Coturnix japonica: one gene and its partners. The protein of the gene in region 1 interacts with the protein of each later gene in a biochemical or structural test. Links are inferred from orthologs where the notes say so. Each region holds a gene or a part of one and is shown in the gene's direction. Other genes may lie near its edges.

The links.
Region 2: the proteins of LRRK1 (region 1) and RET form a complex in vitro, tested with the Homo sapiens proteins (2 studies listed by BioGRID and IntAct, with this or other methods). The link is inferred for Coturnix japonica from reciprocal best matches to the Homo sapiens genes LRRK1 and RET.
Region 3: the proteins of LRRK1 (region 1) and SNX21 form a complex in vitro, tested with the Homo sapiens proteins (2 studies listed by BioGRID and IntAct, with this or other methods). The link is inferred for Coturnix japonica from reciprocal best matches to the Homo sapiens genes LRRK1 and SNX21.
Region 4: the proteins of LRRK1 (region 1) and BAG2 form a complex in vitro, tested with the Homo sapiens proteins (2 studies listed by BioGRID and IntAct, with this or other methods). The link is inferred for Coturnix japonica from reciprocal best matches to the Homo sapiens genes LRRK1 and BAG2.
Region 5: the proteins of LRRK1 (region 1) and CHGB form a complex in vitro, tested with the Homo sapiens proteins (2 studies listed by BioGRID and IntAct, with this or other methods). The link is inferred for Coturnix japonica from reciprocal best matches to the Homo sapiens genes LRRK1 and CHGB.
Region 6: the proteins of LRRK1 (region 1) and NEK1 form a complex in vitro, tested with the Homo sapiens proteins (2 studies listed by BioGRID and IntAct, with this or other methods). The link is inferred for Coturnix japonica from reciprocal best matches to the Homo sapiens genes LRRK1 and NEK1.
Region 7: the proteins of LRRK1 (region 1) and VGLL4 form a complex in vitro, tested with the Homo sapiens proteins (2 studies listed by BioGRID and IntAct, with this or other methods). The link is inferred for Coturnix japonica from reciprocal best matches to the Homo sapiens genes LRRK1 and VGLL4.

What each region holds. Positions count from the first base shown.
Region 1 is NC_029525.1:15,837,395-15,841,521, forward strand, and holds the start of LRRK1 (leucine-rich repeat serine/threonine-protein kinase 1), read left to right. Parts: upstream 1-1,324; 5' UTR 1,325-1,469; intron 1,470-1,651; exon of another isoform or gene 1,652-1,832; intron 1,833-3,926; 5' UTR 3,927-4,065; coding exon 4,066-4,127.
Region 2 is NC_029521.1:3,953,491-3,957,683, reverse strand, and holds the start of RET (proto-oncogene tyrosine-protein kinase receptor Ret), read left to right. Parts: upstream 1-1,388; 5' UTR 1,389-1,656; coding exon 1,657-1,702; intron 1,703-4,193. UniProt on the Homo sapiens protein: Receptor tyrosine-protein kinase involved in numerous cellular mechanisms including cell proliferation, neuronal navigation, cell migration, and cell differentiation in response to glia cell line-derived growth family factors (GDNF, NRTN, ARTN, PSPN and GDF15).
Region 3 is NC_029535.1:9,487,592-9,491,659, forward strand, and holds SNX21 (sorting nexin-21), read left to right. Parts: upstream 1-1,239; 5' UTR 1,240-1,446; intron 1,447-1,666; 5' UTR 1,667-1,836; intron 1,837-1,923; exon of another isoform or gene 1,924-2,033; 5' UTR 2,034-2,039; coding exon 2,040-2,301; intron 2,302-2,456; coding exon 2,457-2,605; intron 2,606-2,879; coding exon 2,880-3,551; 3' UTR 3,552-3,914; downstream 3,915-4,068. Other genes in the region: TNNC2 (troponin C, skeletal muscle), read right to left, coding at 406-417. UniProt on the Homo sapiens protein: Binds to membranes enriched in phosphatidylinositol 3-phosphate (PtdIns(P3)) and phosphatidylinositol 4,5-bisphosphate. May be involved in several stages of intracellular trafficking.
Region 4 is NC_029518.1:79,192,636-79,196,903, reverse strand, and holds the end of BAG2 (BAG family molecular chaperone regulator 2), read left to right. Parts: intron 1-2,128; coding exon 2,129-2,238; intron 2,239-2,841; coding exon 2,842-3,242; 3' UTR 3,243-3,748; downstream 3,749-4,268. UniProt on the Homo sapiens protein: Co-chaperone for HSP70 and HSC70 chaperone proteins. Acts as a nucleotide-exchange factor (NEF) promoting the release of ADP from the HSP70 and HSC70 proteins thereby triggering client/substrate protein release.
Region 5 is NC_029518.1:14,702,319-14,705,856, forward strand, and holds part of CHGB (secretogranin-1), read left to right. Parts: intron 1-1,779; coding exon 1,780-1,823; intron 1,824-3,117; coding exon 3,118-3,211; intron 3,212-3,538. UniProt on the Homo sapiens protein: Secretogranin-1 is a neuroendocrine secretory granule protein, which may be the precursor for other biologically active peptides.
Region 6 is NC_029519.1:22,234,561-22,238,098, forward strand, and holds part of NEK1 (serine/threonine-protein kinase Nek1), read left to right. Parts: coding exon 1-159; intron 160-241; coding exon 242-373; intron 374-2,866; coding exon 2,867-2,969; intron 2,970-3,538. UniProt on the Homo sapiens protein: Phosphorylates serines and threonines, but also appears to possess tyrosine kinase activity. Involved in DNA damage checkpoint control and for proper DNA damage repair.
Region 7 is NC_029527.1:2,993,413-2,997,729, reverse strand, and holds the start of VGLL4 (transcription cofactor vestigial-like protein 4), read left to right. Parts: upstream 1-1,488; 5' UTR 1,489-1,914; coding exon 1,915-1,996; intron 1,997-4,317. UniProt on the Homo sapiens protein: May act as a specific coactivator for the mammalian TEFs.

The sequences.
Region 1 (4,127 bases):
AAAAAAAACAAACACAAAAAACCAACAAAACTATATTTATAAATTAGGATACAGTTAATCTAATGTATTTTTATAGCCAAGGGTACATGAAAATGCTATGTTTAAACTTCTTGTATATATTTTAGACTATGGGTATCTTTTTTGTCATAGTTCCTAATAAATGTTGAACTTTGTGAAATAGTTTCTGTGTGCTGCATATCGATGTGGCTCCAAGGAAGGAATGGGAATGGGAAACTTCTATTGCCTGCACACTGGAAGGGGTTAAGGCTTCATGCAGAACATGCTGCCAGACGGGGCTTCGTGAAACCCTCTTAGACACAGCCACTGTTGTATGACTGCCCCATGATGAGACATTCCTGTCTTATCTCCTTTATCTGCAGAGGAGACAGAGCAAGAACATAGCACCGTTTTTAACGCTCTTTGCATAGAATGGCCTGGGTAGAACAGGACCTTAAAGATCATGTAGTTCCAACCCCTCTGCCACAGGCAGGGTCACCAACCACTAAACCAGGTGAGAAGAGATACAAACAGCCACCACCTCCCTACACACACACAGCCAAATCCCATCCATTTTCCACTCTGCAGCAGCATCACTCGGGAGCTCTGCAGCCGAATGTGAGAAGGGAGAAGCACGGAGATACAGAGGGACAGAGTGATGTAAGCAATGGAGTTATGAGTAAAGTCAGGAGGAAGAGCAGGATGAGATTTGGAAAAGGAAAAAAAAAAAGATGAAGAAATTCGTGCTAAGGGAAATTGTGGCCTCTCTCAAAACAAACTGTGATCTGAGATTTTATTCTTATTCCAAACAATGGTGCCAAAAAGAAAAGTATAAGAAGGGCCTGTCTAAGAACCAGAGCGTGAGGCATAAAAGGCAGCAGACGCGATAGAAAGTGCAGAGTGTGTCCAACAGGTGGCTGCAGCCAGATGCAGATTAACGGCCGTCTGAACACCCTTTAAAGCACCTGTGAGGATCCAGCTTCTCTGTGACTCCGTAATCACAGCGAGAAAAGCGCTGCAGAACAAACCTCAGGCAGCAGCAGCTACGGGTGTGGCTTTTTCCATCCTCAAGAGCCCCATCTCTTGATTTAAGTCCAGGGAACGACCTGTGTCGTTGAAGGGAGCGTTATGGATAACATAAGTCACGCCGAAACGCGTTCCCTTCACAAGGTCCGTGGGGTGGGGATGATACAGCCGTATATCGGTACAGGGCGCTGCGGTGGGCAGGGATGCGCGCACCGCTCGTGTTGGTTGCGGCCCGACGGGAGGCAGGGGGCGATGCTGCTGTGTTTATCCGGAGGAGCAGCTCCGGGATCCGGGGAAGGAGCAGCCTTCAGAAAACAGAGCTCGGCTTGGGCCGGGCTTCAGGGCACGGATCCGAGCAGCGAAGCACCCGCGCGGCTGAGAGATGGCGGTGCGGCCCTTGTGCCGTCCAATGTTTGCCGAATAAGAACGCGCAAAACTAAAGCGGTGTAAGCACGAGTAGGGCGAACCGAGGGAGAGGGCGGACACCGAATGATGGACGTGGGGAACGAGCCCGGCACAGGGGCAGCCCCGCGGTCCCCTCTGCGCCCCACGGCGGGGAAGGGCGCTGAGAGGCGCTGCCGACCGGACCGCCCCGAGCAGCCGCCGGGGTTCCAGGCGAGACGCGGCTCCGACCGCGCCCTGACCGCGGCTCCCGGGCGGGCCCAGCCGGGGCCGGTGGTGGAGGAGGCGCCGCGCGGCTGCCCCGCTCCTTTTCCTTTCTTCCTCCCTCCGCCTCCCCCGCCGCACAGCCAGGCGGGCGAAGGAGGAGGAGGTGGCCCCGGAGAGCCGGCAGCCCCGGGACGCAGGAGGTAACAGCTGCCCGTGGCACAGCGCAACCCCGGCTGCGGGGCGGGTGGAAGCGGTGGGGATGGGGGGGGGGAGGGGACTTAAAATGCGGAGAGAAGCGGGGAACGAGCTTCAGAAAGAAAGTTGGGAGCGAAGTTGCGGAGCGAGAGGGGGCGGCGGGCGCTGCGTGTGCTCGGAGGGGGGGGCGGCAGACGGGAGCTGGCTGGGATCGATGGTCCCGTTTCCTGCTCAGTTGGACGCACGAAGCGCCTTCGCTTCTCCCTTTCCGTCGTGCTTTTCCCGTGGGGCTGCACCGTAGCAAAACGCGGTGACGGCGTCCCAGGAGAGAGGCTGGGAATACATGTGATGGCATTGCAGCCCTCCCCCGGCTGTGTGCTCTCGTGCTCTTGCGGAGCTCAGTGGACCCACACGGCACCGTTCTCTCTCCTTACATCAAATCCACACGCGGTATTTGCACGTGTTACAGCTGGGCACGTCTTGGTTAAGGTAGAAGCGCTGTGGGGGTGTTTTTAATAGACACAGAGGCCCTGAAATACGGAAATACAGCGGCGCACTGACAGCTCAACACTCGCTGCCATAGCTGCAGCTAAAGGGAACTAGTGATTGAAATTGTGCTATTGCTTTTCCTTTTGCTGTATATGAAGAGCATATATTCACACCCCCAAGTGAAAGTTTCCTTACTCAGCCCCTTCCAGGTGCTGGGGCTGCATTCTGATGAATGGAGGCCGTGATGCAGGGCTGTGTCTGCACACCTGTGTCCATTTGGAGTTAGGGCTGTAAAATGGTTCAGCTGTGGGGTGGGTGTGCAGGTGCCTCCATGCAGCCCTTCCCTCTTTTCTTGTGATCACCCAAATCAATTTTCCCATCTTTGAGAAGCTCCCAAGCACCAAACTGCAGTATGTGGCTTCGCCCATTGCCCAGCTCTGAGCTGTGCATCCCACTGCCAGGCACCATAAAATAGGGATCAGCAGAAGCCGAGTTTTGCCATAAGTGCACCTAAAACTCAAACCCTTGCCTGGAAACAGCTGATGAAGCATTCAGTGAGGTCTTTTTTTTAACACTTGGTTTGTGGTTAAAGTGCTGTGTGTGCAGTGAGGAAGGAGCGGGCAGCTTTAGGGTGGTGGTGGTGGATCAGTGACCCCATCCCCAGCTCAGGAAGCCACTCACACACCTGGGCCCTGCTTACCAAACCAGGAGGTGCGTCGTGTATTTTGTTCAGTCAGAGCTTCTGGTCCAAACCTCGGCACTGCACAGCAGACGTGAGAAAATCTAATAGGGATCTAATAGGTGAGAAAGGTTGCTGTGTTGAATCTGAGATGCGTTTGCAGACTGAAACTGAAAGCAGAAAATGAAGGAGCGCTGGTGTCAGCTGGGCACCGACTGCAAAGTCAGCCTTTAATCTCTATGGATAAAGAAAAGGGGTTTTGTGTGGGGGAAAAAAAAAAGGGAGAAAATGTTACAGGCGTGTAGACTGGAAGAGGTGAGAAGGTAGAAATGCCCTGGAAGGCACCTGAGCCATATGCAGCCAGCATGAGAGCTCCTAAGCTTGGTTTGCATGCAGGATGCACTTCAAGAAGCTGTTTTGAGAGCACTGGACTTCACTAAAAGAAGAGGGCAGGGAAGCTGTTGTGTCTCTCTGAGCCCTCTTCTTTCTATAGAGGATTCTCAGTGTCGACATCAGCGTTTTCCAGCTTCTCACACCAGAGCTGCAGTCATTGTGGGTGGGAAAGGTTCTGAGGTTGCCTTTAGGATTTTTCCAGCTGCGTCTCATTGTTTCAGCCCTCTGCCTTCACAGGGCTTGTGGGGAATGTGGGGCTGCAACTGTGACCCTTTGCCCACCCCATATATCCTCCACCCAGACACAGCTGCTTTGGTGGAGGAAAACTGGGAGCAGCAGAGGAGATGTTGTTTGTTTCCCATCTTAATTCATGCTACGCTCTTAACGAAGCTATTATGAAAATCGTTGCGTTCATATTTGTGTAGTGTATTTCTTCAAAGCAGCATGTTCTCAGCCGTGTTGGAGTGCATGGGGATGCACTGCTTGCAATATCAATACCGGAATGATTTAATTTGTTTTGCTGTTGATTTCCAATCAGGGTAAACGATGCTCCATCAGGACGGCATTTGGTAGCGGCCGCTCTGCCCTGCATTTAGCTGACGTTCAGCTTTGACCACGCTCAGTTGGAGGCGCTGCAGAAAGTTTGCTCTGTTGGATCCTCACCACTCAGACCCAGAATGTACTGGTGCGTGGGGACGGAGGAATCCGCTGTTTCCAGAGAGAGCAACATGGAGCCACA
Region 2 (4,193 bases), on another chromosome or scaffold:
TATTGCCTTCCTTGTGATAGCCCTCCCCTTGGCTTATGGAGACATCCCAAAAATGCTTCTTGGGTCCCCCTGTCAGGCGGCTGTGGAAGCCCCACGAACACTTCTGCATGTGACTAAGTGTGCAGGAGCTGCATTCATGCTGTCCATCAGGCAGCTCCAAACGCAATGAATGTATGGCACTCACTGCTACTCATCTCGAACTCATTCTTTCCCTGCCGTGTGTCTGTACTTGAGTTACTGTTTCCCCATAGAGGAATACTGGGATACTTGATGGAACCGAAGGAAAGTGAAAATAGCTTGCTTTCTTTTATCAGTTCTATAGGGCAGTTGCTTACATTTTGCCTGTTAGAGTGTTGTGCATTTAACTGAAGTCTGAATTAGGCTAGGGAGGATTGCCCGTTTGATTTGTAGTTAATCTATGGCAGTTCTTGCCGTGTAAAATGACAGTTTACGCTGAGTGTCATTGGCCGCGTGCGTCCCCTTGCTCGTTCCAGGGCGTTTCAAAGTGTGAAGGCTGGGAACGAGCAGAGCGGTAGCTGCCGCTCGGTGCCTCGATGCCGCCGTTCGCATCTTCCAGCAGCGCGGCCGTGGCAGGGGAGAAGAAAACATCTTCCCGGCAGGTTGGAGCGCTCGGGGTGGAGAGATACTGCCTGGGGCCGGCTGTAGCCGAGGGGCTTTGCCGGCTGCTCCCGGCGGGGTCCTGCGGGCGGCCGGGGCCGCTGTGCGCCCGTCCTGGGGCTGTGCCGTGTCCGCCCGGCGCTGGCGAGCAGCGGCTTTCCGACCGCGTTTCTCAGCAAGCCGACCTGTTGTTGAAGGGTGGTTTTGTTTTGCCTTGATTTTTCTTTTCTATTTTTTTTTTTTCTTTTTCTTCCCGCTTGCGGTTTAAAAGCTGCGTTTGGCCGCCAAGCGGGATGCTCGCATTCCGGGTTACTTTGGTTGCCTGCCAGGTGGAGCTCATCTCGCTCAGCATCCTCCTAACAGCAAGCAAAAATTGCCTCCTCTCCCAAGGATTAATTATTCAAGGCGTTTAATGTGTTTGTGGGGGGTGGGGGGGGAGGGAGGCGTCCACTCGTATCCATCCTGGTGCCGCAGCGCCTGTCCCCGCTTTGTCTCGCACCTGGTGTGTTTGCGCGGCTCGCGGCTCTTCCTCCTTCGCAGCCTCCTCCTCCTCCTCCCTCCGGGGGGCGGCCGGAGGAAGCGGGCCCGGCTCTCCGCCGCGGCGGCCCCGTCCCGCCCCGCACCTCGCTGCCGCCCGCGGGGATGCTCGGGGCGGGGTCCCCTCCGCGGGGGCTCCTCGGGCGGGCGGGGCGGGGGCGGCCCGGCCGCCTGGCGGGCGCGGAGGAGGGGCCGGGGGCGGCCCGAGCCGGGCGGTGTCGGTCCGGGCAGCGCGGGGGGCTCGGCGGCGGGCGTGGTGCGGCGGGGAGCGGAGCGGCTTCGCCTCTCACTTGGGCTTCTCCTTGCAGAGCACCGGGGAGACGCTGAGGGGATCGGGAGCTTCTTCCCGCTTGCGTGGTCGGGTCCGGGAGGAGCGAGGGAAGGAGCCGGCTCACAGCATCCCAACGCGGTCTGCATCCCGGCTCAGCACGTCCCGCCTCGGGCATGGGTCGGCCCTGCTGAGAGCCCCGCTGCTGCCCGGAGCGCCGGTGGCCCAGGAAGATGCGCTCGGTGCGGGGGGCGGCCGGCCTCCTGCTGCTGTGCGGGGGTGAGTACCGGGCGGGATGCCCGCCCTCGGGAGCGGTGCGCGGCTGGTGGAGCCGTGCTCGGGCCGGCTCCGGAAACCTTTCCTCAAATTGAAACGAGATAGGAATAATCCAACCCTTTTTTTTCTTTGCTTTTTAAGACCGATAGCTAAGTTAGAACAGATGTGAGTTGCCTTGTTCTTTAAATTTATGATGTGAAGGAGAAGAATATTCAAGTATGTTCCTATGTAAGTTTTTCGGAGATGATGCCTTCTCTGATGTCCTTCTCCCTTTATGCTTTATGCACCATTAAATGAAATCGGGTTTGGATTGATAAGTGACGATGACCAGAAGATGAAAAGTTATTGGCTTGTAACTTAGACGATGCTGTCCACAGATGTGAACTTTCTAAAGCAAACAGAAAATGCATTATATCCCCGTTTCCTCCATATGGCGATGTTTGCCGATGCATTTCTGATGTTTACATACGTAAATCCAAGTTGTTGTTTGCTATAGAGAACGCGGAGCAGCCCTGCGCACTACAAATGTTCTGAAAAGGGGAAGCGTGAACGAGGCCAGCAGCTGGTCTAACAGTCAGGTGCAATGCAAATTCTGTACTCGGGATTCTCTCTAAAATGTCTAACGATGTGCTCCTTCCCGCTGTTGTTTCTAATTAATTACGGTAGTTCACAGCAGCTTAAACTGCCTTATGTGTGTCAAAGAGATGGCAAAGCCTCTATTTGGTATCTTTTTCTTTCACTGTGATGAAATACTTCAAGTCGCCCTTAGTCTTTTTCCACGTTATTCCATTATTCTTATGGCCTTCTGATCTTGGTAAATACTCCCTGGGATTCAAGCCTATGTTGCCTGCAAATAAAATAGGTAGCAAATGCCAAGTCTAAATACTCATTAAAAATAAATAAGTAAACAGAGCGGATTGTATTCCCAGCCATTTCACTGTCAGGAAGAATCAGCCAGACTTGGATTGCTATCGGATCATCTATCACACTGCTTCACTTTTCTTTTTGTGTTCATGGCAAATCCATTTCCTTTAATGTTTGTGGCAGAATTAAGAGAAATCCAGTTTAAACTCAGATCTTCAGTCTGAGGGGTTTGGTTTCTCTAATTAGAATAGCACACATTCGTTTGCTTGGAAAAGATTGCTGGTGATTTCACTGTAAGCTGGACAGATGAATTTATTCCTGTTCCTGCTGCGATGCCCCAGAACCCTGTTTGTACTGAACATAACAGATGCTTAGATCTTCCTTCTGAGCTGCTTTTCCTATGTCATCTTTTCTTTTGCTCTCATTTCAATGTATCCCTTTAACTGGACTGCCGTTTGATTCTATGTGTACTAAACTAGAGACTGGGAGCGGAGCTGTCTGTGCGTCTTATGTGTACCCCAGGCAGATATCTGTTCTGTAAGTGTCAGAAGTAAGCAGATGGATATTGGTTCAGCCAGAAACCTGTTGTTAAATATAACCACAAACTGTTAACTCTTGGATTTGTCCATACCTTGGAGGGGTTTTATAGGAGTTAATTTGAGTTGGATAGACTGCCAAGTTGGTTTTCTCAAAGTACCGTTTGCTCATGCTTGCAATTACAAATATTTGTTTACTCTCTCATCTTTGACTGGTGGAGCTTCATAGCTGATTCTCCTCACTTTTTACTAAAAACAAAGGGAAAAAAGGTTATATGTATTTAGGATCACTCTTTAGCATAATGGCATTCATAGTTATTTCAAGGAGTGAATTCTTAGCATGTTAGCAGTACTGTCTGGGTGTCTGTCGCTGGTGAACTACTGTTTGAAGTTTAGATGTGTGATATTAATTCTGATTATTGGAATAAAAGCTGAGTCCATAGCAGGGTGACTAAGGTGGGTTGTTCTGTCTTGGGAGCATTAGCAAAATTCCCAGGTACAAGGAATGCCTCTTTAGAAACAGAGATTGTGCGTGATGCCGCAGTGCTCCAGCGGGGTGAGGAATGCATCACTGGAACCTGAGTGGTCTGTGGTGGTATCTATCAATATCATGCTCTCTCTGGGCATTGTGAAGAATTATGGCTCTCAACTGGGTGCGTGGGTGTCCAGCTGGTTGTCTTGCCAGAGCTGTGGAGGTTGGTGGCCCTACCTGTGGTGTGGGGTTGGAGATTCATGATCCTTGAGGTCCCTTCCAACCCGGGCCATTCTGTGATTCTGTGAGTTGTTTTGGGCCACATTTAAACTATATGATATAGTTAATTTATATAAATAACAGAGCTTCTGTTTTTTGATATATTTTATTCCCACATTAAAAACAAAGAAGAGAGCAATAAAACTCTAAAAGTAGTGGGTTGGACACATACATGAGGATTTCCACCCAATGTGTGGTGATGCTCATGCACTCAGTCCCCCTTGGTACATCTTTAGTTTATCTAACCTGTCGCATTTTGGAAAACCTAAAGCTGCAGTAGTCCTTAAGACATACGCTCATAGATGACCCAAAGGTTTCTCAAGTGTGGACAAGACAGTATTTG
Region 3 (4,068 bases), on another chromosome or scaffold:
GGGAGCAGAGCTCAGCGGGCACCTGTTTGCCCTGGATCGAGTTTCTCCTGGAGGCGCGGGCTGTCTGGGGCCGCAGAGGTGTCGCATGACCCAGCGCTCGGCTTTCAGCGCCTTCACACAGCCCAGCTCCAGCTCTGATCGCCCCATGCACCCATTAATTACCCCCAGCCAGCCGCACACTCCCTCTTTGGGGCACATCTTATAGGGGTACACATCCCATAGGGGGACATACGCCATGGGGAACGTATCCCACTGCCCCTACATCCATGCTACCTCCTGCCATAGCCAGCCTGAAGGGATCATCCCTCTGCCATCGCCCCATAGAGGTGCCTGGCAGCCCCACACCGCGGTGCCCAACACCTCCGGCCCAACCACAGCTCAACCCAGCACCACTGGAGCTCTTACCATTGACGCCATCTTTGCTGCTCTCTTCCTGCAGGGAGTCAGCACCTCCTGCACCAGCAGCCCCCGCACACTCCCTGGCTCCCCAATTTGTAGTGTCCCCGTGCCCCCAGCCGTTGGCCCCCAGCCCCAGCAGCCTATCAGCTCCCTGGTGGAAATCCGGCCCCGCTCATTGGCAACGGGCTCATTTTACCTAATTTAGCCAAAGCGTTATTGGCCAAGAGCAGGGGATTAAACGTGGGTCTGAAGCCGGGATAGAAATTCAAGCCCTGCAGGGAGGGACGCAGCATCTTGGCAGGAGTGCGGCTCCTTCATCTACACCTCCTTGTTCCAGGACAGCTCAGCATGGAGGGGGTTAAAAATAGCCCCAAAGAGCAGCATCCCCAACACCAGGACTGGGCTTCCCCCATGCCAGGCATTAGGGACAGGGCTGGGTAGTGCTGCCTGAACCTCTGCTAACCCAGGTGCCGCGGCTTGGGACAAGCAGGCAGCACTGGGGCCACGTCCCATCCCTTACCCCACAGCACCCCAGTTACTCTGGCTGTGCCCAAACCATCAGTCCCTCCTTTCACTCCTTTCTGTCCTAGAGAGGTCAAGGCGAAGCTGCAGCCCTCAGACCATCACTGTGAGCTGCAGGTGGGTGAGGAGCGTGGCCCTGCAGTGGGTCCTGGCACTGCTGTGGGTTCCCACTCTGCTGGCAGCCACTACCAGAAATGGCACGGCTGCTCCGTGACTTGGGGAGTGGGAACGATGCCCGTGGCCTCCTCAAAGGCTGCGGCTCTGCCAGGTCCGTGGCCCTGGGTCTGGCTGGCCAAGTGGCCCACAGCCTGCAGCTCTCCAAAAGGGTTTTGTGGCTGCAGAAGGGCTGTCGGTCCCTCGGGACCCTCTGCTGGGGCAGCTCTGCTGGCACCCCATGGATGGGGCAGCACAGCACAGCAAGGAGCAAGGACAGAGTGATGGCAGCAGCTGGACCATTCCTCGATATTAATAGACATTCCCAAGAAAGCAGCGAGGACAGAGCGGGGATGGTGCTAAATAAGGGCGGTGAGTGCCAGGCAGCGGCCATGGCTGCAGCCCAGGAGCAGGAGCGTGTGGCGAGGCTGGGGATGGCAGGGTGCCGGCTGAGGGTGCCGGGTGCCGGGATGTGGCGGTGTTGGGGCGCTGCGCTGTTGGGGTACCGAGGTGTCAGGGTGCCGGGGCACCGGAGGTTGGGGACCATCATGGAGCGGTGCCCGGGGATCGGTCACGGGCTGTGCGTGCACAGACGGAGCCGGACCGCGCCGAGCCGCGCTGCGCCGTGCCGGGACGTGACAGCCCCGCCGCGATCCGGGTTCCCAGCGGAGGCGGAGCCGCGCAGGGAGGATCCCGGGACGAGCAGCGGCGGAGCGGCCATCGCTCGGCACCGCCCGGAGCGGCCCGGCACAGCGCGGTACGGTACGGAGAGCAGCGCCCACAGCGGCAGCGGGGCTGAGCGGGGGGAGCGGGGTTGAGGGTGGGCGCGGGTCGGGGGGGCCGGAGGGAGCCGGCCGGGAGCGGGGCCGTCCCGATGCGGGGTCTCGCGCTGCCCCCGCTCCTCCCCCTCCCCGTGCCCATCCCGGTGTTGGGGCGGCCGGGCTGACCCGTCGCTGCAGCCGGGGATGGCCGCCCGCATCCTGCACCGCCTGCGGCACGCGCTGGGCGCGGACGGCAACCGGGAGGAGCGGACGCACGACGGCGCTGAGACCGAGGACTGTCCCGAGAGCTCGGAGCTGGAGGACGACACCGAGGGGCTGTCCACGAGACTCAGCGGCACCCTGAGCTTCAGCGGGCACGAGGAGGACGAGGACGAGGAGGAGGAGGAAGAGGAGGAGGAGGACGGCGGCGAGGAACTGCCTGCGGGGGATGCTGCGCAGGACGGAGGCAGGTGCCGGGATGGATGGATGGGTGGATGGATGGATGGATGGATGGATGGATGGATGGATGGATGGATGGATGGATGGATGGATGGATGGATGGATGGATGGATGGCTGCCATGGCCGCCCCGGGCGCCCGCTGAGCGCTTCTCCCCGCACAGAGTGGGGCCCGGCGGCGCGGCCCGGCAGCGTGTTGAGCCGGCAGCTGCAGGAGCTTTGGCGGCGGTCGCGGAGCAGCCTCGTGCCGCAGCGGCTGCAATTCGAGGTCACCAGCGCCAGCGTGGTCAGCGAGCGCTCCTCCAAGTACGTGGTGAGTGCGTCCACGGGGCCGCGACGGCGGGTGGGGGTTGGGGCGGGCGCTCACTTCTCTGTGTCTCTCCCTGTGCTGCCCCGACGGTGCCGCGGCTCAGATGAGCCTCAGGTAACTACGGCCGGCGGCTCCGCCGTGTGAACGCCGCCCTGGGCACGCAGCGTGTGCCCGGCCCAAGGCTCCTTTGCTGCCGTGCGCTCGGTTCGGCCCCGGCCTCACCGGGGGGGCCACGTCCCCCATCGCAGCAGCCGCCGACCCCCGTTCCTGCCCACAGCTCTACACCATCTACCTGACCCGCTCCGGGCAGTTGGACAAAGCTCCCGCCTCCATCTCCCGCCGCTACTCGGACTTCGAGCGGCTGAACCGCCGCCTGCGCGGCCGCTTTGGCTGTGACATGGCGGCCATCGCCTTCCCCAGGAAGAGGCTGCGGCGCAACTTCACGGCCGAGACCATCGCCAAGCGGAGCCGAGCCTTCGAGCAGTTCCTGTCCCACCTGCACTCCATCGCCGAGATCCGCCGCTCCCCAGAGTTCCTCGAGTTCTTCTTCCTGCAGGACCTGCGTGCCGCCCAGCGCCTCACCTGCACCGGGATGTACCGCGAGGCTCTGGCCACATGGAGCAACGCCTACCGCCTGCAGGACCGCCTGGGGGTCTGCGGCTCCGGCCGCTTCCTCCTGACGCTGGCCGGGCTGGTTGTCTGCCACCAGGAGCTGGACCAGCTGGGTGAAGCCCACGGCTGCTGTGAGCAGGCGCTGCAGCTGCTGGAGGCCCAGGACAGCCACCCGCTGCTTGGGCCTTTCCTCCAGGCTCACGTCCACCTGGCCTGGAAAGTGGGCAAGGATAAGCGGCAGTCGGAGGCCCGGCTGCAGGGCCTGCAGGAGGCCGGGGTGCCATTGCAGCAGCAGCCCAGCCTGAAGGAGTGTCTCATCAAGGAACCTCTGGAGTGAGGCCGGGGGCAATGGGGTGCAGGACAGTTTGCACTCCGGGGTGGGAGAGGGAGCAGTGAGGGTTGGGATTGGGCACGGAGGCAGAGTTGTGTTGGCACAGGCTGCACGTGGTGGCTGGGATCAGGGCTGGCCCCTCTGGGAGCCATCTCTCAAAAATGCACTTTCTATGTCAGTTTTTCCACCGGTGCTGGGTGTTGCTGCCCGCACTGTCAGGAGCCAGCTGCTCCCTGGGGCTCTTAGACAGGACTTTAGCTGAGACACATTGGCACTGCATTAAAGGGACAGGAAGGCTCCTGGCCAGGAACTTCCAAAAACAGAAAATAAAAAGGACTTTAATAAAGTCTTGGTAGGAGAAAGAACAGGGGCTCCTGTGGTATCTGTGTAGCTTCACTTCCCCCTGAGGCACCACACAGAGACACCCACCAGAAGGAAGCCCTTGTGCCTCCCACAGCAGGAGGTGGGAACATCCTTGTTCTTCCCTTTGTGGCTGCTGTGCTCCCCTCTCCAGCCCAGCTCC
Region 4 (4,268 bases), on another chromosome or scaffold:
ACTGAACTCCAGAACCCAGCCCTGCGTGTTTCTGAGTGAAAGCTCACAGGTTCTCATGGTCTGGCCCTCTGGTGCTGCTGGGTGGAGCCTATAAACAGGAGGGGAGTCAACTCTTTGAAAGGGCAGATAACTGCAGGACAAGGGGAAATGGCTTTAAGTTGAAGGAGGATAGATTTAGGCTGGCTGTCCGGGGGAAGTTCTTTACTATGAGAGTGGTGAGGAGCTGGAACAGGCTGCCCAGAGAGGTTGTGGATGCCCCATCCCTGGAGGTGTTCAGGGCCAGGTTGGATGGAGCCCTGGGCAGCCTGTTGTAGTGTTAAATGGGGAGGTTGGTGGCCCTGCCTGTGGTGGGGGGATGGAGCTTCATGATCCTTGAAGTCCCCTCCAACCTGGGCCATTCTGTCATTTCCTCAGCAGTGGTGCAGGGAGCCAGCTGGGGATCAAGTGCTGGGCGCCCTGCAGGTTTGTCACAGCTGATTTAGTTATAAACTTATGTCAATCAAAGGTGTGATTGGTCATTGTTTTTGGTACACAGTCGTTGTCTCTGACAGTCTGGCTTTGTAGGCCATGAACTGGTAGCTTGATCTTGGACGCAGAGCTGGTAAGAGCCACGGGTCAACCTGCGCACTGAGGGCAGACCTTTGCTTTTGAGTCAGGGCAGTGCCAGACTTGAGTTGATGTAAAAATGCTGTTAAAAGTGAAATTTTGCACTTGTTTCAGCTTTCTGGGGACCAAAATGGACTTTCCAAATGGTGACAGTGCTGGTTTTTTTTAAAGGCACGGCGAGGCACGTATGAAAATTCTGCTAGACTTCCTAAATTATAAAGTGCTGACATCTGAAGTATGAAGTGGCTCCACCTGCCCTTATTACTCTTACTAACCCATCCAAAATAACAATTAAGAATATTTGCTCCTGGCAAGAATTTGCATTGCATTAACTTTTCCCATTCCTCCTCACATTAACATGAAAGGGAGGGCCTGAAGCGTGTGGTTTCACTGGGGAACTCAGCCTAAAGATTTCGTCAAACAGAGCCATTCCTTGAGCTCAGCGTGCGTGAGGCGTGTGGGTACTGAAGGCCCTGAGTTCCTGGCCCCACCTGCCTTCTCCCTTTTCCCAGCACCACCACGGAAGAGCACTATAAAGCAAGGAAGAAGAATGAACTGGAGAGTTAGCAGTGCTTCGGTTTGCTTTCGCTTTCTGGACAGACTTAATGAATATACCAGGCCGGGTGCATTCCCTGCCTGTTTGCAGCATCAAGGTCTCTGAGCTGTGTTGAAAGCATCCCAAGCCATTGGCCAGGTTCATGTGATGCTTTGCTTGGACTTGGGATCTCTCCAAGCACCCAGCAGGCGCAGTCAGGAAGGTGCCCCTCCTGCCCCTTCTCTCCTAGGCAGCTGTTCCCCTTGTGCTGCTCTAGGTGACACTGCTCTGAGCAAAAGCCCTCTCCTAAAAGCCGTGGCAGGGAAGAAGCCATGGGTTGTGGGTGAAGAGTGGCAACGCAGCAGCACACAGCTGGGCAGCTCTCTGGCTGAACAGCTCATGGCACAGTGTTGCCCCGTGCCTGACCCCTTGGCAGCAGTGTGCCACGTGTCAGGTTCAGCACAGTGAGTTGTGCAGGGAAAGGGTCTGATTTCAGGATAGCTCAACTGCGTGCTTTCCTGCAAGCCCAGAAATAGGAGCTGACCAGAACAGAGCTTCATCCTCTGTGAGTCACAGCCTCCTGCCAGTTTGCTGCATCTTTATGGAGAGAAACAAACCACAGCGACGTGAAAGCAGGCGCTTGGCAGGACTACCCATAAAGGCAACAAAACATGCTCACCTTGCCTGTCTGTCCCATTCTTCTCACATTACAAAGGAGCTGGTTGTTTTCTATCTATTGGCTCATGTATTCAGTTTTAGAATGATTTTGTGTCTTGAAAGATTAAGTTTTTATGTAGGTGGGGGTCATGGAGTCAGAATGTCTGGAGCACAGATACTTGCAAGCTGACTGCACTTGCAGTGGGGCTCTTTTGTTGATTTTTTTTTTTTTTTTTTTTTTTTTTTTGTTTAATTGAAAGATCTTGGCAGTTTTATGGGGGAAAATGTGTTTTATTATTGAAAGACTTTGTTTGGTTTAACTACGCCCAGGGTAGAGGCTTTCCGTGACGCAGCATCTGCTATGGAACAAGAAAAAGAAACCCTGCTAGAAATGATCCACAACATACAGAACAGCCAGGACATGAGGCACATCAGTGAAGGTGAGAAGCTGCTTTGCCATCCCCTCCTGTCTGCCCTAAAAGCAGACCAGCAAGGGGAGCTGCTCCAGTGCTAAAGGCACCATGCTGGAGCTGGCAGAGGATACCGATGGGCCTTCCCTCCCTCTGGGGTCCCCGTTTCCTTTTTGCTAATGGCCTCTAACTGCATCTGGTAAGCAAAGTAACTCTTCTGTCTGTGGCCTTTCGAGGTGCCGTGTATTTATACTCTTTCTCACAGCAGCATTGAGGGTCCATCCCTCACGTGCCTGCTTTTGTAATGATCAATGCTTCCTGATATGGTGCTTTACTGCAGTGTGACAAAACAAGCACTGTGTCAGCAGTGGAAAAACATCGCTTATACCTTTCTTAAAGCTTACAGCCTAATTTCAGATCAGAAGACACCAGCCTCTGTGACATGGGTGGGACTCAGGCACGTAGATGTAAAACCTCTGGCCCCTGAAAATCAATCTGATTGTCACCTCTTAAAAAGAAAAGAAACAACAGACATCCATGTTGGCACACGGTAGCACTTTGCTTGTCTTGGTGATGTAAAGGCACTGGGAGGTGTTAGTCAGTAACACAGGATACCTTCTGCTTTCGCTTTAGGTGAGAGAGAAGAACTTAACCTGACTGCCAACCGTCTGATGGGCCGAACCCTCACTGTGGAGGTTTCTGTTGAAACCATCCGTAACGCCCAGCAGCAGGAGTCCCTCCTGCACGCCACCAAGATGATCGATGAAATCGTCAACAAGCTCCTGGATGATTTGGAAGACGCCAAAATCCGCTTAATGTCGCTTTACGGCGCGTGCACGTCTGATGTGCCGGCAGGACCCATTGATCAGAAATTTCAGTCCGTTGTCATTGGATGCGCTATCGAGGATCAGAAGAAGATCAAAAGAAGGTTAGAGACTCTGCTCCGAAACCTGGAGAATTCTGAGAAGTCCATCACGTTGCTGGAGCATCAGAAATCCTCGATGAGGCAGCCTTGCATCACCAAACAGGATTAATCTGCCTCGTGGCTACTTCTGGCAAACCACAGAGTGATCCAGTTCTCCATAAAAGCACACAGAAGCTATAAGGAAAATCTCTGTTTACAAGTACACGCATATATACGCATACACATGCACCACGGTATCTTGGATTGCAAGGTGCAGGCATTCTATGGGTTGCGGTAGCATTGGCATTTTGTTTCAGCAATAAGGAATGCTATCATGATTTCTTCTGTAGAGTTGATGCTGCTCTGTTGCAAGTTGTAATGTGCTTCTGCTGAACTGTCAGAATCGATCAGAATCTTGCCTGTCCTCCATTCTCCTCCTTTTATAGAAAAAAACAACTGCGGTTGTTTGGTCATATACTGCGATACCAACTTTTCTCTGCTCTATACATAGTGTGTGAAATAGACTCTTGGGGGAAAAAAAAAAAAGACAAATCATGGCAATAAACAACAACAGCAACAACAAATCAATAAACTGCATATTGTATTTTCATAAACAACACAATGTTTTACTCTTTACTGTGTTGTTCATCATCCTTAGAAGAGAATGACAGATCCTGTGTGTGTCCAAAGAGGCTCAGAGCCCCCACTGAGCAGCCTGTTGTTCTGCTGTTAGTTCACTGAAGGGCAGCATTCTGCTGGTGCTGCAGGGGGCTGCGCTGCTCAGCCCTCACCTGACCTCCAATTGAAGCTCAGCTGTTGGCGCTGTGGGAGGGAAGAGCAGCGCGGGCAGCTGCAGCACCCTGCGTGCGAGGAAGCCTCCACACCTGCAGCAGATTTCTTGCAGTGCCCACCTGAGCTGGGAGCTCATCTCAGGTCCATCTGCACAGCCACCGAGCTCTGCGTCTCCAACCTGTGCCATACGCACGGTGTTGGGACCGCTGCTCTGTGCTTTGGGAGCTTCCAGCACTGCAAGGGCATCGCTGCTGCCATGCATGGGCAGAGATGGAATTGAGATGGGGACCTCCACAGCCACCACATCTTCAGCTATGAGGCTGTGCCTGCTTCCCAAGAGTAATTATAACAATATACATGAGAG
Region 5 (3,538 bases), on another chromosome or scaffold:
TTGACCTGCGCCTCTGCTGCCATCTGTCACGTGGCAACAAAATGCAATGGGATATTAGTGGGAAGGTTCCATCTCTATTGCCATGCCACCAAACAATCTCCTTTGACATCCTGGACCAACATAATGAAGCAGGAGGCATTACTTTCAGAGCAGCCCCACTGATGATTATTTTTTGCTTTTACAGGTTTAGCCAATGTATCAAAATCTGTGGACTTATTTACCATAGCTTTGGACTTATTTACTGTAGCTTGAGCTGCCACTTGTCCAAGCCCTGTGTCCTGGTTTTAGCCCAGATGGTTGGTGCTGAGGGGCCAGGCTACTTGGCATGGCAGATCTGCCACCATGATAGTGTGGGGAAGGGTCTGGGCTGTATGTGGCCCAGGGGTTGGGAGTTGAAACTGCCTACTGTAAGGTAAATTGGCTTCTGTTCTCCATAATCTTTCTATTAATTGGGTCCAGTACTATACTCCTTGAGGAGTATTGAAGAGAAGGGGATGCTTCTAAAAACTCCAGAACTGCATCCCAAACTGTGTGTCTGGGCATGGAGGTTATAATAAGTGTAGTAAGTCTGTAAAGCAGTGATACAATAACTCTTTTCTTTACCTACTCTTGTGTGGCTGGCAGACTTGTTTAACTTCAGTAAAGCTCTAGGTGGATAAGACTTGACAAAGTTTGTTAGTGCCTCACAGACAAACACGTTAACCTGCTGGAGACATAATAAGAAAAAAAGAAGAGGACAGACTCTTTAGCAGGCTCTCGTGTGATAGGACAAAGGGGAGTGGTTTCAAGCCAAGAGTAGGGAGGTTTAGACTGGAGATAAGGAAAGTGTTTTCTATAATAAGGGTGATGAGGCACTGGCACAGGTTACCCAGAGAGGTGGTGGGTGCCTTGTCCCTGGAGACATTTACGGTCAGGCTGGAGGGGCTCTGAGCAACACGATGGAGCTGTAGCTGTCCCTGTGCACTGCAGGGGAGTTGGTCTACATGACCTTCACAGGTCTCTTCCAACTCTAACAATTCTGTGTTAATGCAGCAGTGATGGCAAAAGTAAAGCAACCTGAAGGTTTTGTTTACAGCAGGTTCTTTCCAAAGGCATATATATTGGACCAGCAGTACAAGTGGTGTGGGGAGCTGTTAATTACCCAAAGTGTCTTTATGATTGAGTTGTACTGCTTCTTTCTGGAGGTTTGTTTGTTTGTTTTTCACTGATATTTAACTTTCAGTTCATTTATTGAGCTTATAATGGACCACTTTGTGAATGGAATAATCCAGGTGAGAGACAGGATTGTTCCAGAAGGATTAAGCCAGTAGTTGTTTTTCATCATTGAAGTGGTCTCTTGGTGGGGAGATGGTCGTGGGGCAAACTAAGCCCCTGCAGAAGGTGAAATACATCTCAGTTTGGGAACAGATTTTATTTCCTCTTCTTTCACCACCAAACAGGTACATCTACGTGAATACCCATTACTGTCAGGCTCTATTCCTGTTATTTGGGTTGTATTCTTTTAGTGCTAGAAATGTTGGTGGCCCTACCTGTGGCAGGGTGTTGGAACTTGATCACCTTTGGCATCTGTTCCAACCCAAGCTGTTCTATGATTCTTTCCTTCTAGGGTGAGTCTCCGCACTGCTTTCCCGTTCTGAGGAAGAAAAGATAAAATGCGTCTGGTTTACTTACCCTTCCAGCCCAAAGTTTAGGCAGCCTTAATGTGCTGAGGACTTCTGCCAGTGATATTTATGGTCCTGCTAGGACTAATGAGTCTATAATAATTTATTTTTCTTCCAGGTGTCAGCACAGTTCCAGTGGAAAAAGACCATATGGAAGAAATGGTGAGTAGCTTGAAGTCAAAGCAAATTTCATTAAGTATGAGTCTCATGCTCCCTGGCATTCTGGCTCCTGTTTTCTTTTTAAGCTCTCAGGGAAACGTTGGGTTTTGGTTTTATCTTTCTTGGAGGTTGTTTATTCTTTTTTTCCTAAGGGAAAAAGCTCAGAAGTCCTTTAGCTATCAGTGCCTTTGATGGAAACAGAAGCTGGCTTCTTGTGTCAAACTCTACGTTTTGCAGCTGCCTGAAAAAATCATATGAAGTATTACTTGATAGTACATGTAATCAGACTGTAAAAAGTGAAATGGTAAATTAGGAGTAAAGTATAATGGTGGAAAATGTCTACAGTTGTTATGTAATGACCTTTCTAACGCAGTCCTTGCTTGCTCCTTGGAAAGAGGTTCTTAACCTGTTTGATTAAATCTACTGGCTGCTCTCAGGATTTCTAATGTGACCTTAGTATCTCTCCACTGGTTGATAGTGTGGTTTTTACATTAGCAAACAGCTGTAAATAATTAAAAGCAGGGAAAAGAAAATCAGCCATACGTACATTTTTCTTGTCTCCTCCCATCCAGTTACCCAGGTTGTCAACCTGAGGAATGTCTTGGATCCAAAGATCTGAGTGCTTGCCCGCAAACAACAACTCCAAACTTGAAAACCATTTTGGATGAATTTATACAGAAGAACTACTTTGCTTTTTTGCAGTTAGGTGTAAAGGTGGTTGTGCCATTTTCAATATATTTCCTCAGCATTTAGCAGACTCTCCATTTTAAATGTAAAGTACAAAAAGAGGTGGTGCTACAAAGCACATACCCATCCAAGAAGACAAGATTTTCACAGAGTAAACTCCTCAAATATTTTTGTATAGTATGTCACTTATAAAGGTATTTTTTAGTTTACCCAGAGCCCAAGCAGTACCTTTGTTTTGTCCTCATTTGGGCAGCTCATACTGGATGATCCTCATATTTTGGATGTATTGTGGTGGTGTTTTTGTGTTGTTTGAGTCTCCTTTGTACAGAACAGGATGTTTAAAAACATAGAAAAGGAGCCTGTTAACTATATGTGCATCAGATCTAACTAATTACTGTTCTTGTACTAATAGATGAGTGAGGAGCAGAGCACTTCTTACCCAAAGGCACTGGTAGAGCTGAGGGTTGCCCAAAACTCTTAAGTATGTGCTAAGCTCATAACCATTAACCATGAGCTTTAACCCTAAATTAGCTTCACTTACTGACTAGGTTAAAAGCAGGATTTCTGTTTTCACTGTGAGAATTTGTTGTCTGATTTTTGTTTCTCCTAGATAACAAGGTGCATAGTGGAAGTTCTATCCAATGCTCTGTCTAAGCCAAATGCCCCACCAATTAATCCTGAATGCAAAGAAATCCTCAAGAAGGGTAAGTAAAACCTTACCTGAACTCATAAATGAAATTTGATATTTGTTTATAAAGCACAATTTTCAAGAGATGAATGATTTTAATTCCACATGTAAGAATAACGTACTGGAAGTTACATACAGACTTACAGTCTTTTTGTCTTGCCTTCTACAAGTCCATCGTCTGAATTTAAGTTCAGAATGTCTGATGTTCCAAGTGCAAACAACATGAATAGTCAGGTTTCTTTTCACTCCCCCAGTCTTAAAACTGATTCTGCTATGGGCATTGAGTGATTTATTTTTATTTCTAAGACTAACATGGAGTGAGAAAGTCAAGTTAGAAATATTC
Region 6 (3,538 bases), on another chromosome or scaffold:
CGGTGGAGGAGGTGCTGGTCATTTTCCTGCCTCTTTCAGAGGACAGTATGAGCACTATCATGCTATTTTTGACCAGATGCAAAAGGAAACCTTCAAAGTAACTAAAGAGAGGCAAGCCAAATGGAGGGCAGAAGTACAAGGCCAAGAAGCTGTTGAGAGGTATGACTACCTTCCATGTGAAGTTGTATATGGTCTGCTTCAGATGAAAGTAATGAAAGTTGCTGTACGTATTTATCTACAGAGGAATTCCACCTGGAATACGTCCAGGAGTTCCTAAGGGGCCTGCAGGTCATCACCATTTACCTGATGCTGATGCAATTAGGAAAAAAGTGAAAAGGTTGAAGGAGGTGTCTAAACAAGCCAGTGCAAACAGGTTGGACTAAAATAATCCATAAATCTGTCCCTACATGTTAGAATTTTGTTCTATCTTGTTCCATTTAGTAGTTGGACGTGTCTGAGAATCATCTTTATCCATTGGTAGTGTGCTGTCTGTTTGTGTGTTGATCCCTCACAGACCACAGTACTTTCAGAACCAATGGAAACCTTGGCTTTCCCAGTAGGGGAAAAAATAATGGATTACCAGCAACCTAAGCTAGATTTAAGCTAAGAGGACTGGCTTAATGCAGTTATAGTCTATGTAGAACTGCCTTCTCTGCTTTTTTCTAGTTCTGATTTCTGTGTTACATGCCAAGACGCTTCCTTGTCCTGTCATCTCATCCTGACTGCCTTTTCTCCATCTAAGCATTTTTATTTATTATTTTTTTTTAAGAATAGAAGAGTATCTAGAAAGCTCTCAGCACTTTTAGCTTCTGTGTATTGATCAGTGTATTTTTTCTGGATGACTGAAATGTGTCATTTCAGTCTCCTCTGATTATTCTCAGTCTTTTGCACACAGTGCTACAATCTCCAAATCTTGCCTGGTTAGGAAATCATAGCATAGGTTATAGTATTGCTTGCCTCACACATCTGATGGTATTAAATGGTACTTTGCTTGACTTAGCCAAGATTGTTTTAAATCTGTTCAGATTTGAGATGAACCATTGTGAATTAAGAAGAGCACGGAGATCCTGAGGAGAAATTGATTCGGTATTTCTTGAATCCATGAACTCAGAAGCACTCAATGAGCTTACTATGCAAGAGTTTCGAAACAGATAATTTTTCTTTTTCTAATCATAATCTGGACTACTATATAGCTATATAGCTATTACTGCTGTCCTGCTTGTCACATTACAGCGTTACACAGACATCATGGAAGTTTTGTGTTTTAAACTGTATATTTTAAAAGTTGAAAAATCTTCAAATTACAGTATCTCTGATTATGCTGCCCCAACTAAAGTGAAGTGTTCTCAACTTCAGTAGTCTTTAAAAATTGGGCAGTAGGGCTGACCAGGAGAAATTTTTTTGAAGCATTTTAATAAGGTTACTTATTAAAGGTTACTCAGCCTTAGATTAGGAAAATCATTATTGAAAAAAATTGTTTAAATTGAAGAGTGTTGGGTTTGGGCTGTTTTGGTTTTTTTGTTGTTGTTGATTTTTTTGCTCAGGGGGCACTTATTCAAAACTGTGGGCTAAACTTTGTGATATTGATTGGCTTTGTCTGTCAGTTGAGTTCATGTGTAATGAACAGCTACAGTTAAAATCATGTAGTGAGTCAAATAGATTTATAAAGAAGTTATCAAGTGGTTCTTTCTTTACCAGTAACACAGTGGACGGCTTTGCATTTCCAGAACAACTACAGCACTTGTTCTATCAAAGTAGTTTTCTTTCTCTTCTTGAATTATGCATATGGAAATATCATTTTATTTCCTCATTTGTAGCTGGGTAGCACAGTGGAGAAAATAAGATTCAGAGGTGTTTTATGAGTGTGCTAAGTTATTTATGAATTGCTGACAGTAGCTCCCGTATGGCAAAATGTTCTTTCTTTAACTGTTTCGCCTTATGGGTTATTGCTGTCTGCTTTTCCTGCTATCTTCCTGCCTTTTGTTGGACTGCTAGTACAACTCTACAGTCAGACGAGACTGGGGGAGCCTTGGGAAGGGAACTGTCTCATCATTCTATGGTTTGTTAGCATTTCTAACACTGTCCATGAACTTTTTTTGTTTTTTGTGGTTTTTTTTTTAAACTTCTTTTCCTTAGAGAGCTCCCTCATCAGTCTGTTTTTAACCAGTTTTTTTAGAAAGTTTCCTCTAGCACGTGATCATATGTGTGCGCTAGTAGACTTGCCACATACTCAGTTACATGTGAATGCATCCTTCTTGTCTGTCCAAACAGAAAATATCTGTTGTGGTTAATTTTGTGGCAGGAAAACTCCTTCAGAATCACTTGAAAAATAACAAAAATCTCCATGAATCCACCAAAATGCTATTGGAATGCCACCATTGAGACAGTTATCTGTGTGGTAGAAGCTCTTGCTCCAAGCCTAGATCAGACTTGCTAGGCTGTTGGATATCTTACTGAATGGCTTATGGAGACTTCTTGCCCGTCTCCGAAGGAAAATCTCGAAGGAATGTGTTTGTCTTCTTATTTTTTTTTCAAAATGTGATTACTAATGGGACAAGCTGAGAAATTGTCAGAAATAACCACTAAAATTATGGTTCAACATTCTTTTTTTTATGAACAGAGTGTGCAAGAGAGCAACACTGTTTGGGAGGAGAGTTTAATTGTACTTTTTATGTTGTTGAGTGTGTTTGTCTCTGTATTGTTAAAGTCTGACTTCAGCATTTTGGCTGATAAAAGGCATTTTTCTGAAGATATGTTACTTATGAAGGTAAATCTCTTATTTGTTTCTCAGTTAGGATAAATGCACTGGTAATATGAATACTGTATTTCAGAAGCTTAGAGCTTGATATGTGTTGCAATTATTCAGGCAGAAAGGATGGTTACCTGCAGAAAGAGCAAAGCAAGTTGAAGAATTCTGGCAACGGAAGAGGGAAGCCATGCAAAACAAAGCTCGTGCTGAGGGACACATGGTATGAAAAATGCAGTCTTTGTGTATTATTGTTTCGGAATGCTTTATGAATCTTTAAATTAGTGGTATAGCCATGAAATACTGGCTAAATAGCTTTCTTGTGCGTGTCTAACTTGATATTGTGAACTTTAGAACAGTGTTTTGCATTTTCTGTTGGTCACAGCTGTAAAGTTTTGGTTGAACTTACATATAAACTAAACTAGTAGAGTTTTCCTAAAGACTTGCTTTTTATTAAGATACTTTAGCTTTGATGCAGAAATATCCTTAGGTTAGTATATTTGTTTTAAAAGCATGAGTCTTCTGTTTTAAAAATGTATCTCTGTTTTAAAGTCTCTGAGACCAGCAAACCACTTTCATAGAAATAATGTTTGTTTAGTCTGCCTCTTCGTAGATGAGTCAGTAGTAGTACCTACTTCTATTTTGTTTTTAACTTTCTTAGCATTAATATAGTTGTATACGATACACAGTGCTATTTCTCTAGTGTATTCAGCTGAGCCCAAATGCTTTACACTCAATGGACAGCTGCAATAAAATGGGGAGGCTCCAACTCTGAGCCATGGCTCCATATAA
Region 7 (4,317 bases), on another chromosome or scaffold:
TAATTAGAGTCAAATTTGATTTACTTAGATGTGAAGTCTACAGTGATTCAGAAAGATGTTATGTGGATTTTCAGTTACCTCTAGGGGATGCTGTTGTGTTAAAAGTTCCAGTGTACTAAATACATTATATACAGCTTTGGATATATATCTGCCTTATGGAAGAAAAGTGTGTGCAATGCTAAGAGAAGTACTTGAGATAATATCAGAGATAACATAGAGATAGTATGGCACACCACTAGTTGTGGTAGCAACTATCAGTGTATGGAAAAAGAAGTAAGAACTATCCTGGGGTGATGTTAATAACTATGCATGCCACATCTAACCTGTTGATGCACTGATTGATTTCAGCTCAGTGGAAGGTATCTCAGATTAGTGAAGCGTGTGAAGAACGGCAGATGGAACAGACTAGTTGGTAGTTTAAGTAGTACTTTTCAAAATGCTGTGGCAAAGTGCCTCAGTAGTGCAGTAACAAAGCAGAAGGATTCCCAAAGTGGAAATTAAAATTTCTTACTGATTCTCACTGACTATCTGCTCTCCTGTGTACCATTAGAATTCTCCTTCCCAGGAAGACAGGGAAGAATTGCCATCCAATTTGAAGAGGAAAGAGAGGTAGAGGCAAGATTAGGACTCCATTAGCCTTATTGTTTGTCCTAGAACAAAGTTCTCCGGGGTTTATTTCTCTGTTTCTGTCAAATCAGCCTTCAGGTGTTGATTAGCCACGGGAAGTTCAAGCCGATGCCTGCTAGGTTAGCACATGCCTTCCTCTATACAGATGTTCTGCCCTCTCCAGATGAGTCACACACATCTGTACAAGCAGCGCCAGCCTTTGTGGTCAAGGCTTGAACTGCAGAAGGGCTGACCGCATCCTGGGATGAGACCAACTGCTGTGGAAACCTCCATCATCTGCGGCACTTCATGTGGAGCTGTACCAATTGCTAACGATCCAAACAGAATTTCTGTTAACTAATATACCTGAAAAGAATCAAATGTAGTGACGAACTGATTGGCAGCAGTGCGTGTGAGCGCACAGTACCTATGCACAGAGGTAAACCATCAGTGTCACGTTTCCCTAACCAGCTGCTGTTCTGCTCTGCCACTCTTATATCACTGCAATAGTACATGGCAGTGCCTGAGGTCGTGCTGGGAAATACAGCAAAAGAACAGAGCTAAGGACTGTTCAGAGATGGCTGCGCCGTGCTGTGGTGGTGCAGCAGTCAGGCCGCTGCCCGCATGGAGGCCTCCCAGCAGCCGTGCCGCCTTCGCTTCCCGCTCGCGGTGGCAGCGCTGCTTCCTGTCAGGGCGGCTCTGACATGGCCCCTGCTGCACAGGCCCCTTCTGTGCAGGCTCTCCACCTCCTCCTGCTCTTTCTTTCAAACACTTAGTGCATTTAGAGCCTGATCTTGTACAGAAAATATCCCTGACATTTGAAGAGCTCCAGGGATTCACTGAGCATGCTCAGTCCTCCCCGCCTGATAGAGAGAGGAAGCTGGTTTACATACGAGTCATACCAAGCATAGCCTGCATGTCAGTGCAGTTAACTTGCAGCGGGCTGTGAGGAGAACTAGTGTGTCTTTGTCCTAGGAAATTTCCCTTGTTTCTGTTTGCTTTTTCTTTCTTTCTTTCTTTCTTTTTTTTTTTTTTTTTTTTTGGAGAAAGACTTGAAAAGTTTTCAGACAGTTTTCTTTGTACTGAAGGACGCAATATACTTTTAGTTTGTAAAAGTTTGGAAGGGGTCGTGTGTGTTTTAATCCTTCCAACTTTTCTTTAATATACTTTGTTTTGATTAGTGAAGGCTGGGCCTTGTGCTAGTGAAGTTTCGGGGGCCGGGAGCGTCCTCAGCACCATTCGCCTGGCTTCCATCTCCCTGAATCTGGGTGAAAGCAAACAAGCTGGTCTTTTTTGCTAGCCCAATAAATGCTATTTATGAAGATGGACCTGTTGAACTACCAATACTTGGACAAGATGAACAACAATATTGGCATTCTGTGCTACGAAGGTAACGCTTTCATTTCACAAAGCTCTTTTGTCGGGTGTGTTTTATGTTATTTGTAAGCGTGGATTTTCTTCCTGAAAGAAGATCTCTATGGTTGGTTTTAAGATAGCTCACAGTCTGGGTTGTTAATACGGCTTTGTTTAAGGGAAGGACATTTTTTTTTTTTTCTTTTTCACGTTAGATTTGTTTAAAGGACTGTGTTGCTTCTGTGTCTGCCAGGCAGATTGTTTGTTGGTAATGTCTGCAGCTGTGAAGGAAATAGTTTGTAATATGGGTGTAGGTATTAATTTACATTTCTGCTTGTAACCGTACCTAGCAGTCGGGCACCGCCGCTTTTAGGTGGGGGAGACGCTTTTATACAGTGTAGCTCGAAATAATTTTTACATCAATTCAGCAGTTGGGTCGCGAACAATGAAGAGTTTGAGTGCACAGCCGTGGGGCTCACAGAGGCGCCGTGCTGCAGAGCACAGAGTAGCCCATTGTTTGACTTCTCATTTCCTGCACAGCTCAGAGAAAGCCCTGGCTGCGAGATGCCTCCCCCTCCTCCATCGCGCACACCCCTCCTTTCCCAAGAACCACCCCACGCTCCCGTCCCCTGTGGAAAGAATTACACAACTAGTTGGAAAATGTAATTTTTTCTCTCTGCTGGACTCTGAATTTTACCTATGTTGTCTCCAGCTAATGTAGGTTGGCATTTGCTCTCCATTTTGTAAGCATTAATAGTCCTGTTTTGAAGTTGCCTGAGGTAATAGAGTAAAATAAGTTTCTTAATCTTAGTGGAGTTTTATCTACGTGCAGTTTGAAGAAGTGGTTATGGCTTGGCTTTGACTGGAAAGAAAGGCACCACAGAGCTAATTCGGCTTGGCAGTAGAACTGTTTTTGCTGTAGCCACACACAAGCCTTGCAGAAATCTTTCTTCTGATTCAGCAGGAACATTTTCCGTGTTCATTTGGAAAATAAACTTGCTGTAGTTGTTAGGGAAGAAACAATAAGGAGTACACATAGGAATAGAAAATGCCTATTCATATGTTCAAAAAAAGGACTAGGCCAGAGCTGAGCTTCTCTTTGGAAAATAACATCTTTTCTACCATTAAATCAGAATGGACACATTTCCTTCCTTTGGGAAATGGAGGAGTTTCTTATAGAACTGTTAATATTTGATTCTTTTGTTGTCGTTGTTCTTTCTTTTCCTTTCCTGCTCAAATATGGAGATAACTTGCTTGAATAAAGCTGTTTTAAAGAAGTTTGAGTTTTCATATCAGGACTGAGTAATCCAGAACTGAGATAGTGCAAGACTAGTTGAATTTTCTGGTTCTTTCCTACCTGTGTTTTCTCCATTATAGCTAGAGGACTAATTAAGAAAAGACAACTTGAAGGATCCTTTAACTTTTTGTTTCTCTCGTAGTAAGCAGTGCTTTGTTTGGAGTCAAATAACAACTTCTGATGAAGACCATGAAGTTTGCTTAAAATTCTGCTTACGTAGTACATGTTCATGAGTGTTTTGTTGACTGAAGCAGAAAAACTGTAGCTTTGGCTCACTACTTCAATTCATTAGAATTATGCCTAATTTTAATGGGTGATTCTTTCCAGATCTCCTTTTCCACCCTTTTCTCCATTAATTGTTATTTGAATAGATCTTTGCTTTAGAAGTTAAAAGCTGCTCAGAGTACTCTACTATAGCAGTCTTTGTTTAGCTTAAACATCTGTTGCTATTTTCCTTATTATGGAAGTTAACATTTTTAACACTAAAGTAAACATACAAAAAAATGAGAAAAAAAAAAGCAAAAATTCGGTGGTGTTTATAGTGAGGTGTTTATATCCCAGTGGTTTAAAAAGTATAAACAGTCACTGACAACATCTGCACTGAACTGTAAGGGTGTTTTAGAGATGCCTACAGATCTTCCTCTGCCGGAGTATTTATTTTCTAAGAGCTGTATCAGCTGTGATGGATCTTGTCTTTTCAAGGACGCTGCTGTAGTAGTAAGTAGACTGAGAACAAAGTGCCCTTTCAGACTCAATTAATTAGGATTTATTGAAGGTCATACTTGAACTACTTCTAAGTAGTTGTCTTCCTAAAAAGTACTTTGTACTTTTGCAGATGTAGACACAAATATATTCTGTGAAAATAGGATTGAAATTTCAGTGGAAAGAATTATGTGTCTTATCTGGATTCATATTATATGTATGGACCTATATCCTACAGGAAGTAAGTGAGATGACTTCCTTATTCCTTTATATTCTTTCCTGCAGCTCTCACTGTTACTTATTGAGAGAATATGTTTGTTGATGAAACATACTGTTGTCGTTTTATAATGTTTACTCTA